Xenopus tropicalis: one gene and its partners. The protein of the gene in region 3 purifies or fractionates together with the protein of the main gene of each other region. This does not show direct contact. Links are inferred from orthologs where the notes say so. Each region holds a gene or a part of one and is shown on either strand. Other genes may lie near its edges. The genes, in order: ccdc115, V-type proton ATPase subunit S1 and atp6ap2.

Region 1 (4,173 bases), on a different chromosome or scaffold from region 3:
TAGAATAATGAGGGATCTCTCTGCCCCAGTAGCCAATGGGAAGGGAAGGGGCGGGGCATTGATATAATAATGAGGGATCTCTCTGCCCCAGCAGCCAATGGGAAGGGGCGGGGCATTGATATAATAATGAGGGATCGCTCTGCCCCAGCAGCCAATGGGAAGGGAAGGGGCGGGGCATTGATAGAATAATGACGGATCTCTGCCCCAGCAGCCGAAGGGAAGGGGCGGGGCATTGATATAATAATGACGGATCTCTCTGCCCCAGCAGCCAATGGGAAGGGAAGGGGCATTGATATAATAATGAGGGATCTCTCTGCCCCAGCAGCCAATGGGAAGGGAAGGGGCGGGGCATTGATATAATAATGAGGGATCTCTCTGCCCCAGCAGCCAATGGGAAGGGGCGGGGCATTGATATAATAATGACGGATCTCTCTGCCCCAGCAGCCAATGGGAAGAGAAGGGGCGGGGCATTGATATAATAATGACGGATCTCTCTGCCCCAGCAGCCAATGGGAAGGGGCGGGGCATTGATATAATAATGAGGGATCTCTCTGCCCCAGCAGCCAATGGGAAGGGGCGGGGCATTGATATAATAATGACGGATCTCTCTGCCCCAGCAGCCAATGGGAAGAGAAGGGGCGGGGCATTGATATAATAATGACGGATCTCTCTGCCCCAGCAGCCAATGGGAAGGGAAGGGGCATTGATATAATAATGAGGGATCTCTCTGCCCCAGCAGCCAATGGGAAGGGGCGGGGCATTGATATAATAATGAGGGATCTCTCTGCCCCAGCAGCCAATGGGAAGGGAAAGGGCGGGGCATTGATATAATAATGAGGGACCTCTCTGCCCCAGCAGCCAATGGGAAGGGAAGGGGCGGGGCATTGATATAATAATGAGGGATCTCTCTGCCCCAGCAGCCAATGGGAAGGGGTGGGGCATTGATATAATAATGACGGATCTCTCTGCCCCAGTGCAGTACAGTAAATACAGAGTAACACACAGACACACGGGGTAAGAAGGGGGTGAGAGTGAGGGGCAGATCCATAGGGGGGTACTTACCCGCTCTGTACCAGGGTGAGGGGCAGATACATAGGGGGCAGATACATAGGGGGTACTTACCCGCTCTGTACCAGAGTGAGGGGCAGATACATAGGGGGGTACTTACATGCTCTGTACCAGGGTGAGGGGCAGATACATAGGGGGGCAGATACATAGGGGGGTACTTACCCGCTCTGTACCAGGGTGAGGGGCAGATACATAGGGGGGTACTTACATGCTCTGTACCAGGGTGAGGGGCAGATACATAGGGGGGGTACTTACATGCTCTGTACCAGGGTGAGGGGCAGATACATAGGGGGGTACTTACATGCTCTGTACCAGGGTGAGGGGCAGATACATAGGGGGGCAGATACATAGGGGGGTACTTACCCGCTCTGTACCAGGGTGAGGGGCAGATACATAGGAGGGGCAGATACATAGGGGGGTACTTACCCGCTCTGTACCAGGGTGAGGGGCAGATACATAGGAGGGGCAGATACATAGGGGGTACTTACCCGCTCTGTACCAGGGTGAGGGGCAGATACATAGGAGGGGCAGATACATAGGGGGGTACTTACCCGCTCTGTACCAGGGTGAGGGGCAGATACATAGGAGGGGCAGATACATAGGGGGCGTACTTACCCGCTCTGTACCAGGGTGAGGGGCAGATACATAGGGATATTAACATGCTCTGTACCAGGGTGAGGGGCAGATACATAGGGGGGGCAGATACATGGGGGGGTACTTACCCGCTCTGTACCAGGGTGAGGGGCAGATACATAGGAGGGGCAGATACATAGGGGGATACTTACCCGCTCTGTACCAGGGTGAGGGGCAGATACATAGGAGGGGCAGATACATAGGGGGGTACTTACCCGCTCTGTACCAGGGTGAGGGGCAGATACATAGGGGGTATTAACATGCTCTGTACCAGGGTGAGGGGCAGATACATAGGGGGGGGCAGATACATGGGGGGGTACTTACCCGCTCTGTACCAGGGTGAGGGGCAGATACATAGGAGGGGCAGATACATAGGGGGATACTTACCCGCTCTGTACCAGGGTGAGGGGCAGATACATAGGAGGGGCAGATACATAGGGGGGTACTTACCCGCTCTGTACCAGGGTGAGGGGCAGATACATAGGGGGTATTAACATGCTCTGTACCAGGGTGAGGGGCAGATACATAGGGGGGGCAGATACATAGGGGGGGCAGATACATGGGGGGGTACTTACCCGCTCTGTACCAGGGTGAGGGGCAGATACATAGGGGGTACTAACATGCTCTGTACCAGGGTGGGGGGCAGATGCATGGGGGGGCAGATGCATGGGGGGGCAGATGCATGGGGGGGCAGATGCATGGGGGTACTTACCGGCTCTGTACCAGGGTGAGGGGCGCCATGTCGGGTCGGTAGTGCAGGGAGCCCACACGCTTGTTCCCCATAGAGTATCGGGCCTGGGAGAGGCACAGCCAGCCCTGGGGGGTAGGAAAGGGTTACACGGGGAGCGCACTAGGGGAACATACACCCCCCCCCCCCCCCCCGGCAGGTAGGTATGAGCCAATCAGCCAGGGGCCCGGGGTGCATGCTGGGAGCTGTAGTACCTGCTCAATGTGTTGGTTGAGCGCTTCCCGCTTGTCCCGCAGACTCTCCAGCTCCTCCATCAGGCGCAGTGTTAGCGCATCCAGCCGCCCGCACAGCAGCGCCACCTCCGTGTCCGACCCCATCCCGACCCACTCACTCACTCACTCCCGGGCCCCTCTGTGCTTCCTACCCACTCACATGACTGCCCAACGCGGAAGCACAGAGCCGGGACATGTCACGGAAACCACTTCCTGTTCGTCACTGGCGGCCATCTTTCTTTGGGGCGCAGTGAGGTCACTTCCGGGGTTCTCTTCCGGTATTTCTCAGGGGCTACACGTGGGGTCGGAACAGCGCAACCATGGTGAGTGTTAGGGGCCCCCAATACCCCCCAATACCGTAATGTAATAGTTACCCATAATGCTGTGCTGTACTGGGGGTAATAGGGGTACAGGGAGTCCCATAGTTACCCATAATGCTGTGCTGTACTGGGGGTAATAGGGGTACAGGGAGCCCCATAGTTACCCATAATGCTGTGCTGTACTGGGGGTAATAGGGGTACAGGGAGCCCCATAGTTACCCATAATGCTGTGCTGTACTGGGGGTAATAGGGGTACAGGGAGTCCCATAGTTACCCATAATGCTGTGCTGTACTGGGGGTAATAGGGGTACAGGGAGTCCCATAGTTACCCATAATGCTGTGCTGTACTGGGGGTAATAGGGGTACGGGGGAGCCCCATAGTTACCCATAATGCTGTGCTGTACTGGGGGTAATAGGGGTACAGGGAGCCCCATAGTTACCCATAATGCTGTGCTGTACTGGGGGTAATAGGGGTACAGGGAGTCCCATAGTTACCCATAATGCTGTGCTGTACTGGGGGTAATAGGGGTACAGGGAGCCCCATAGTTACCCATAATGCTGTGCTGTACTGGGGTAATAGGGGTACAGGGAGCCCCATAGTTACCCATAATGCTGTGCTGTACTGGGGGTAATAGGGGTACAGGGAGTCCCATAGTTACCCATAATGCTGTGCTGTACTGGGGGTAATAGGGGTACAGGGAGCCCCATAGTTACCCATAATGCTGTGCTGTACTGGGGGTAATAGGGGTACGGGGAGTCCCATAGTTACCCATAATGCTGTGCTGTACTGGGGGTAATAGGGGTACAGGGAGCCCCATAGTTACCCATAATGCTGTGCTGTACTGGGGGTAATAGGGGTACAGGGGGCCCCATAGTTACCCATAATGCTGTGCTGTACTGGGGGTAATAGGGGTACGGGGAGCCCCATAGTTACCCATAATGCTGTGCTGTACTGGGGGTAATAGGGGTGCGGGGGAGCCCCATAGTTACCCATAATGCTGTGCTGTACTGGGGGTAATAGGGGTACGGGGAGCCCCATAGTTACCCATAATGCTGTGCTGTACTGGGGGTAATAGGGGTGCGGGGGGCCCCATAGTTACCCATAATGCTGTGCTGTACTGGGGGTAATAGGGGTACGGGGGGCCCCATAGTTACCCATAATGCTGTGCTGTACTGGGGGTAATAGGGGTGC
Region 2 (4,191 bases), on a different chromosome or scaffold from region 3:
TACTTTAATTTTGGTGTCCTTTATTATTTAAAAGGCCTGTTTCAGTTTAGCACACTTGATCAAGCACTTCCGTATATTTGCGTTTGGAACTGCTCAGTCCCTTCTGCCTTCTATTCTAAATTAAGTGCTGCTGCACCTAGTGATGCACGGAACCTTAGAGTTACTGCCACCTCCTGGCCAGGTGGTAGCTGCAGGGTTCCCTTCATGGCCAGCATCAATAGGTGCAGCATACTTGCACCTGGGCAATAGGGGCACAGACGTCACTCACACTCAGAACATTGGAAATGATGCTGGATGGTCTTCTGCGCAATTGTGTCTGATTTGCATTGAAATGTGTGCAGTTGAGGTAACTGGTTGATTCAGAGCAACTGCAGTAGGCGCAGAGCAACTGTGCCAAGCACAGCACACCCTTGCAACTACAATGATGATGAAATTCTGGTGGAAAATGGCTCTTTGCTTGCTGCATTTGTAAAAGTAAATGAGTAGATAAGGTTGAAAAAAGAAAAGCATGCATCAGGTTCGGCCATCTAACCAGATTGTTACACACTTTCAACATTATTTGACCACGGGGGACAGTGTTCAGTTGGAGTTTACAGAAGGTTTTCTTTGGTTGAGAAAAACATTATGTGGCCCCCATATGTTTTACTAAATATAGATATGCAGATACATTTAGCTTTATGTATAGCATAATCTATGATTATTCTTTTAGATTGTAAAGATTTACCCTAATTTTTGTATCAGTCTATATTTATATATAACCTTTATGTCTGATGTATGCACCCATCTGTTGAACACCACTGCAGAATATGCTGGCCCTTTATAAATATGTGTTACTAAAAACAATAATAATTATAATCCAGTACATTTATTGAACATTTAATGCTAAATGTATTCATGTTTTGTATGCAATTGTGTGTATGTTGTAATATTAGTTGTAATATTAGTTGTTTTGCTTACAGTTTGTTGTACTTGGATTCAGCTTGGTTGTGCTGTTGGATGTTAAGTTTTAGGAATATGTATTCCTGGGAATGTAGTATTTCCAGATTCACTTTGGCTGGGGGAAGGGCTGTCAGATCAATCACAGCATAAGTAAAGGAAATGGTTTTTCTTTTTTTCTTTCACATTTCCCTTTAATCATACCTCTCTCTCGGCTTGTCCACAGGTGATCAGTGATGTTCATAAAAAATCAACTGAATAATGCTTGCATGTATGCTCATAGTGTAAAATTATTCACATTGCCCTAAATATACTTTTATCTAAGCAATGCAGACTGATCTCATTTAGTAATTGCTCACTCACATTGAAGAAATAAATATGAATATTAACAGAAAAAGAGTTAACATTCCGTTTGCAAACTATATTCTTCCTCTCACAACTGTGCCCCCCCCATGCTGCCCGGGCCCCCCAAGACCAACGGGTCTGCTATGTATATATGCAGATCACCACTAGTTTAGGTGGGAGCCGGTAATAGGATGGCTAAGCACTTGAGTCTCCTGAATTTGCAACAAACCCTGTTTAACTAGCTATATTCTACTGTTTATCTTCTAACAGTTGCTTTCCGTTTTTTTCTATCAACAATACAGCTTAATAAATATTTAAAGAATTGAACCACCCCCTCCACCAAAAATCAGTGTTTACACATGCCTTTTTAAACCCTAGCTCCTTACACAGCGTAGGACAAAGGCAAGTGAAAATGTATGATGTTGAAATAACGTATTAGCACATATTAATCATGCAAATTGTTTATTAAAATGTTCTTTACTGAGAGAACAAATTACTGTTTTTAACATCATTACATCACGGCCCATTCACAGTTTTTTTTTTTTTTCAACACATTTTCTAAATGACTTGCACTGAATCTATATCAAACACTGTTGCCTCAGAGCTGCCACTCTGACTCTGAGTTATGAAACAAGGTTGCAGACCTATAAAAATGTGTGCAACACTACTTATTGGGCTAATGGCAAATAGCTCAGTGTTTTTGCAGGTATATCTGCTGCCTTCCTTTTACTAAATGTGTGTGCACTGATAGGCACAGGATAAGACCGTCATGGCACACATAAAGGGGATATCCACACATAAATGTTAAATATGCTGATCCCATGCCCGTCAGAACATACACATTCAAGAAGTTGAAGGGTACCTGATATGCCAGCAAAGAAACTGACATCCACCCTTAATTTTTCTTACAATAGCATATCTACTGCTTCGGTCCCCCCTAGTGGGACCAGAAACGCAGTTTGTATACCTACCCCTTAGAGGGCAAAAGAAATCCAATTAATCCAACAAGCTACATTTATTTTACCTTTAGTTTCTTTTATCACCTTTAACATACAGATATTGGTTATTTTGCACCAAGATATCAGTCTGCATTGCTTAGATAAAATAAAAGTTCATCTTTAGACTTCAATAAAGTAAAATTACCATTCAATAATTCCTGACTGAGAAAGACATTTTAGTGACCTTGGTTTTTCTTAGCTAATAAAGCTACAGATGAAATATTGCTTTAAAAATGTTATAACTACATGCTCTAATGTCCTACTAATGTAATGTCATGCTACTAATGCTTTATTAGTCATTTTCAGCATTTTCTATCCTATCTCATTAGATATACGCTATATTAAAAAAAACAAAAACCTTTAATTTAAGTTCCTACCTTTCTGTTGACCATATTAGTACAGGAACATGACTCATAGGCATCACTGCAGAGATAAAGGCAAAGCAAAGGCAGAGAAGAAGCCAAAAAGGCAGCAACATGTTGGCAAAAAGGCAGCACACAACTGTGCTTGGATTTCACTCTGCTCTTCTGCTGTTTCACAGAGATAAAGAGAAACCAGTCCAATCAGATGCACCTGTTTTACCCAAAACACTTTTTGTTTTATGTAAACAAACACATGTGAAGCATGTGATTAACTACAGCATTGTCTAAATGCTGTTGTAAATTCTTATGGGCTGTAAAGGGGAAGATTCTGTAGAAAATGATCTGTGTCTTACTGTGGTTGCTAAAGAATAGATGGTGTAATAACAGCTGCCATTGTTATTAAAAATACATTGAATATATTTCAAAATATTTGATACAGGTACAGGTATATTTCATTTATATAGTTCATTGCACCTATTTAAATGCTGCTCTTGCCTGTTGCTCCCCAAGCTGGCCTTAGCATTTCTAGAAACTGGTAAAGCTCTGTACAGGTATGGGATCCTTTATCTGGAAACCCTTTATCCAGAAAGTTCTGAATTACGGGAAGGCCATCTCCCTTTGACTCCATTATAAGCAAATAATTCCAATTTTTAAAAATTATTTCCATTTTCTTGTAATAATAAAACTGTACCTTGTACTTAATTCCAACTAATATACAATTAATCCTTACTGGAAGCAAAACAAGCCTATTGGGTTTATTTCATATTTAAATAATGTTTAAGTAGACTTAAGGTATGGAGATCCAAATTACGGAAAGATCCCTTATCGAGAAAACCCCAGGTCTCGAGTATTCTGGATAATGGGCCCCATACCTGTACGATTTTTATGCTCCAGTATCTATTTGACTGTTTACATTCTCTGCACTATTGACTCTGACTCCTGAAACAGTGTTGCAAACCACTTGATAAAAGCAGATTAAAAGACCTGGAGTAGACTACTGTTACACTGTGTTACATCAGACCCAGCGAACAGAAAGGGAACAAATACTGCTATCAACAGCAATTTAATTTGCAAATAACACAAAAGCCATGAAATTATTTAATCAGTGTATATTGAAAAGCTGCTTAGAGTTACATATTATATAATTATTGGGTGGAGATCCCCAATAAAGATGTATAAAACTATTTTGTTTGCATGTCTTACTTAAGTTGCAACTATAACATTTTTTAGAATTATTTAATGGCATCTTTAACAGAAGAATTCACAGTGTTGTGTCAAAAACAAGCTATAGCAGTAAAAATGGCACACTTAGGCAGAAAGAAGAACTGCCAGCATTCTGTCAGATACCACCAAGTCATATTCCACTGAGAGAAGCAGACAAACTGCTCCGTGTGCCCAGGGCCTCAGATGTAAAACCTAAACACAGGAAAGTGTTGAAATGGTTTAATTAATTAATAAGATCATTTTTTGCAGGATTCTTATTAGACATCTCTGCATTCAGAAATGGTGCCATCTCTGGGATCTGGGAAAAATAGTTCTTGGCAAGGGTG
Region 3 (4,036 bases):
AATCTGAGGTGTGAACTCTGTACTGATGCCATTTAAATCTTACACAAAGGTAAGCAGTCACAGCAGCCAGACAGGTGGGGGGCCACACAGAAGGGGGTCGCGGGCCGCCGGTTGGACAGCACTGCTTTAGACGATTCGTCAGTTTATCAACACATGTATGGGACCCCCCCAATCGATATCTGGCTGAAAATCGACCTGCGTGTCCTCTTCCCATTGCTTGGTATGTGGGCAAAATTTTGGTGCGGCTGGGTGGCATGCTGCCCCTAAATTTCTGCCACCCTAGGCCAGGGCCTTTGTGGCTTTGTCACAAATCCAGGTCTGGGCATATTGTGAGAAGATCCGCTCATTTGGCAACCTCGTAGATGGCCATCTTTGGCCTGTGATCACCCATTCCCACCCCCAGCTGTCAACTGAAGCCTGATTGTAGTAGGAGGGTGAACCATACAGTAGAGCCCATGGGCCTTTCACAGTGTGCTGTATAGTAGATGCATCACTGCTCACCTGCTACCCTTTGCATTACAGGAGACAGTTATCAAATGTGTATAATTTGCTTAACACTTTTATTTTAGTGCTGGTTTAGTACTGGAAGCTTTGGTAGCAATGTTTCATTGCGGGTGAAAGAATCCACAAATGTAGAAAGCCTAAAGTCACTAACACCATAAATGTGTTCTCATATAAAGCTCTGACTAGAGACTGTCACTCCTCTTATTGCCAGTAAAGTACTAGTTTAATCTGAACAAATTACCTACGTTCTCCAGTGATGCAAAAGGCAGATACAGCCAACACAGAAAGTAACTAGAATTTATCCTATCTGCTATATTGTCTAATTTCTATGACCATTCCTTTTAAAACCAGAATTTAGCTTTATAAAGGTCTATTCCCTTATCTGTAACGTAACATATTTCCATTAGGAACTAGACGCGAAGCCTAAATGCCACCATTTCATTTCACTCCCCAGCCATTTCCTCCACCGCCCTCCTTACCTCCCATCTCTGAAAGGGCAAATGAAGTGTCAGTCATTATATGTGCCTTCCTATTGCTTAGTTGTCACATGATATTGACAAAGGCGGGTCAACAATGCACTAGGCTTTCTCGGATTGGCTACACCGGGTCTTCGGAAGCGGTTCACCAGGAAGAATACCACCACCTTCAAGGATTTTGCAGAGGGATGTTATAGTTCTCCATTTAGTCGTTCGAATTTGGCTGAGGTGTTGCCTTCCGAAATCATGCTGCGCCTCGCCCTCGCTGCCCTTGTACTAGCAGGTAATGTAAAGGGATATAGCTGTTACACACTGCCATATTACGCTTGTATGTGGTAGCTGCTGGTTCTGCATAGTGAGCCTGGCTGTTGCCATGTACTGGGCTTGCTCCTTATGTTAAGATTCGCTTTGATTAATTTAAAACTAAAATTTAAACAGTATTAGTATAATAGTACTAGAATAGTATGGATATGAGAAAAAGGAAGTAAATCCACTCAATATTATACAACCATGATATGGAAATTACTGTAATGAAATATGTGAAATATCTGTGTTAAATCTAACAGAATGGGTTACCATATTTTCTCGAATAAAATGGTTTTAAGCATCATTTTACCTGCCAGATGGCAAGTTATTAAAGAAGCTGAGAGGGAGAGAACCACAGGCTGTATGGCCCCCCTGACAGTTTATGGCCCCCAGCCCCCCAGTGGCTCAGTGCATTTTATTGTTTTCTTATAATGTGAACCCCCAATAGTGGATTATCAACCCCACTGGATTGGTTGGTTTATGCAGCTCTCCTGTGATTCAGATTCATAATTCTTATTTATTATTAACAACGATTTCAATGTAAAATTGTACCTGATTTGTCACTTGAAAAAACAGATCATTTTGAAAAGGGAAAGTAATCATGGGATGTTTCACACTGCAGTTTGGCTTACTCCCTTTTTAAAAAAATATTTGTAAATCAAATTACTTGTAATAATAATATGTATATATATTTGTATATAATATGACTTATATTCTGTTTAATAGAATGTGCACATAACCGATATATAGAGAGCGGATACAGGCAGAATATCTGTGGGGAGAGTTTGGTGAGGCTGCATGTGACTGATTTTGCAAGCGTCACATGATTTGCCTTCCTACTGCTGGAACGGAAAGATGTTACACACAGCTCCCACTGTGGAGACATCTTTTGTCGGTGTGCAAATATTAATAGAGTTTATTACTATGTTGCCTTTCCTAAACATTATCTAGTATGTGTAATTTGTTGACAAACATTGGAGGAATGAGAAAATGATCAGACATTATAAATGATACATCTTTATTGTATTTACTTTTCCATACATTTACCAACCACAGAAACATGAAAGCCCCCTCCCCTTTACATGAGCCATATGAGGAAGTCACCTACATAACCCCTTTGTCCTGACCTTTTTAAATCGATCTGCTGTCATTAACATTATAGGGAGCAATGTATGCCCTATTGTAAATATGATAGTAGAGAGTAGTCTTGGATGGGTTACATTATTTAGTTAACATGCTTCTGGATATCTGATCAGGTTAGATCAGTGATCCCCAACCAGTGGTTCGTGAGCAACATGTTGCTCCCCAAACCCCTTGGATGTTGCTCCCAGTGGGCTCAAAGTAGGTGCTTATTGTTCAATTTGTAGCTTAGATGCAGGTGTTGATTGACCCAGTGTAAAGCCAAACAGAGCCTTCTATAGGCTGCCAGTCCACATAGGGGTTACCAAATAGCCATTTATAGCTCCTATTTGCACCCCCATTAACTTTTTCTATGGTTGTGTTGCTTCCCAACAATTTTTCCATTTGAATGTGGCTCACGGGTATAAAAGGTTGGGGATCCCTGGGTTAGATGATCATACATTTAATTTACAATTGCTACATGAAATGGTTAATAAGCCCCATTGTTAATTATTTGTTTGTCAGATGTAATTATTCAGTCCAGTAGCTGTAAATTCTTGTACCCCCAACCATAAAATATAAGGATATTATAAAGAGTTTTATTACAATATAAAGAGGCTGAAGTCCACTAAGTTGACTAATAATATCATCATCTTTAAAAGCAAGGGGTATATGATATTGTTATATTAACTGTGTACAAGTTTCAATTGACTAAGTGACATAGATTTCATCTCTAAGCACTGATATTAACTGGTGACATCACTAGGCACTGTGTATGAGGATACAGGTATGGGACCTGTTATCCACAATGCTTGGGACCTGAGTTTTTATGGATAAAGGGATATTTCCATAATTTGGGTCATCATACTTTGTCTACTAAAAAATAACATATAAACATTAAATACACCCAATAGGATTACGTTGCCTTCAATAATGATCTTAGTTGGGATCAAGTACAAGGTACTGTTTTATTAGAATAGAAAAGGGAAATCTTTTTTAGAAAATTTTTAGAAATTATAAATATTTGATAAAAATGGAGAGATGCACTTCCTGTAATTGGAGGATTTCTGGATAATAGGTTTCCAGATAAGGGATTCCATACCTGTATAATTTATTTGTGTATTATATCATTATACATGATGGATACAGTGGCTGCTGCACTCTCTGCCTTTGCTCATGTCCTGTCTGACCACATAAACAATCGCTAGACAAGTTTAGAATGAAAATGCATTAGTCCCCAGAAAGAGTTAAGCAGTCAAAATGTGCTGTTTGTAGTTCATTGCAGTTGTGACAAAGGTAAGTGGTTAGAATAACCTGGGTTTTACTTGCAATTTCTTGAGTGATCCAGTAAAGGGCAAAAAGTCAAGAGATACAGGGACTCTTGTGCAGATATGTGAGATGTCCTTTGTTATTTAACACATCTTCTAATAAATTATTCACAAATGTATTTGCTAATGTTAAAAAACACCCTTATTAACATAAGCTTATTTTTTTGAGCTAATGTATAAGAAGTGTATAAGTGCTATACACTGGTAATTTTTTTTTTTAATAGACACTTATGACTCCTCAGATTGAGAGGAAACCATGATAGTTACAGAGCAGAAACATTAGTCACTTAGTGCTCTTCTTAT

What was found.
Region 1: the proteins of atp6ap2 (region 3) and ccdc115 purify together in Homo sapiens (affinity purification with mass spectrometry; 3 studies listed by BioGRID and IntAct, counting the BioPlex papers as one, with this or other methods). This does not show direct contact. The link is inferred for Xenopus tropicalis from reciprocal best matches to the Homo sapiens genes ATP6AP2 and VMA22.
Region 2: the proteins of atp6ap2 (region 3) and V-type proton ATPase subunit S1 purify together in Homo sapiens (affinity purification with mass spectrometry; 5 studies listed by BioGRID and IntAct, counting the BioPlex papers as one, with this or other methods). This does not show direct contact. The link is inferred for Xenopus tropicalis from reciprocal best matches to the Homo sapiens genes ATP6AP2 and ATP6AP1.

What each region holds. Positions count from the first base shown.
Region 1 is NC_030684.2:595,308-599,480, forward strand, and holds the start of ccdc115 (coiled-coil domain-containing protein 115), read right to left. Parts: upstream 2,852-4,173; 5' UTR 2,767-2,851; coding exon 2,644-2,766; intron 2,518-2,643; coding exon 2,414-2,517; intron 1,058-2,413; exon of another isoform or gene 905-1,057; intron 724-904; exon of another isoform or gene 410-723; coding exon of another isoform or gene 1-409. Other genes in the region: uncharacterized protein LOC116406687, read right to left, coding at 1-409; U3 small nucleolar ribonucleoprotein protein IMP4, read left to right, coding at 2,982-2,984. UniProt on the Homo sapiens protein: Accessory component of the proton-transporting vacuolar (V)-ATPase protein pump involved in intracellular iron homeostasis.
Region 2 is NC_030679.2:70,223,449-70,227,639, forward strand, and holds the start of V-type proton ATPase subunit S1, read right to left. Parts: upstream 2,819-4,191; 5' UTR 2,758-2,818; coding exon 2,657-2,757; intron 1-2,656. Other genes in the region: iqub (IQ and ubiquitin-like domain-containing protein), read right to left, coding at 4,089-4,191. UniProt on the Homo sapiens protein: Accessory subunit of the proton-transporting vacuolar (V)-ATPase protein pump, which is required for luminal acidification of secretory vesicles.
Region 3 is NC_030678.2:56,959,165-56,963,200, reverse strand, and holds the start of atp6ap2 (renin receptor precursor), read left to right. Parts: upstream 1-1,197; 5' UTR 1,198-1,226; coding exon 1,227-1,263; intron 1,264-4,036. UniProt on the Homo sapiens protein: Multifunctional protein which functions as a renin, prorenin cellular receptor and is involved in the assembly of the lysosomal proton-transporting V-type ATPase (V-ATPase) and the acidification of the endo-lysosomal system.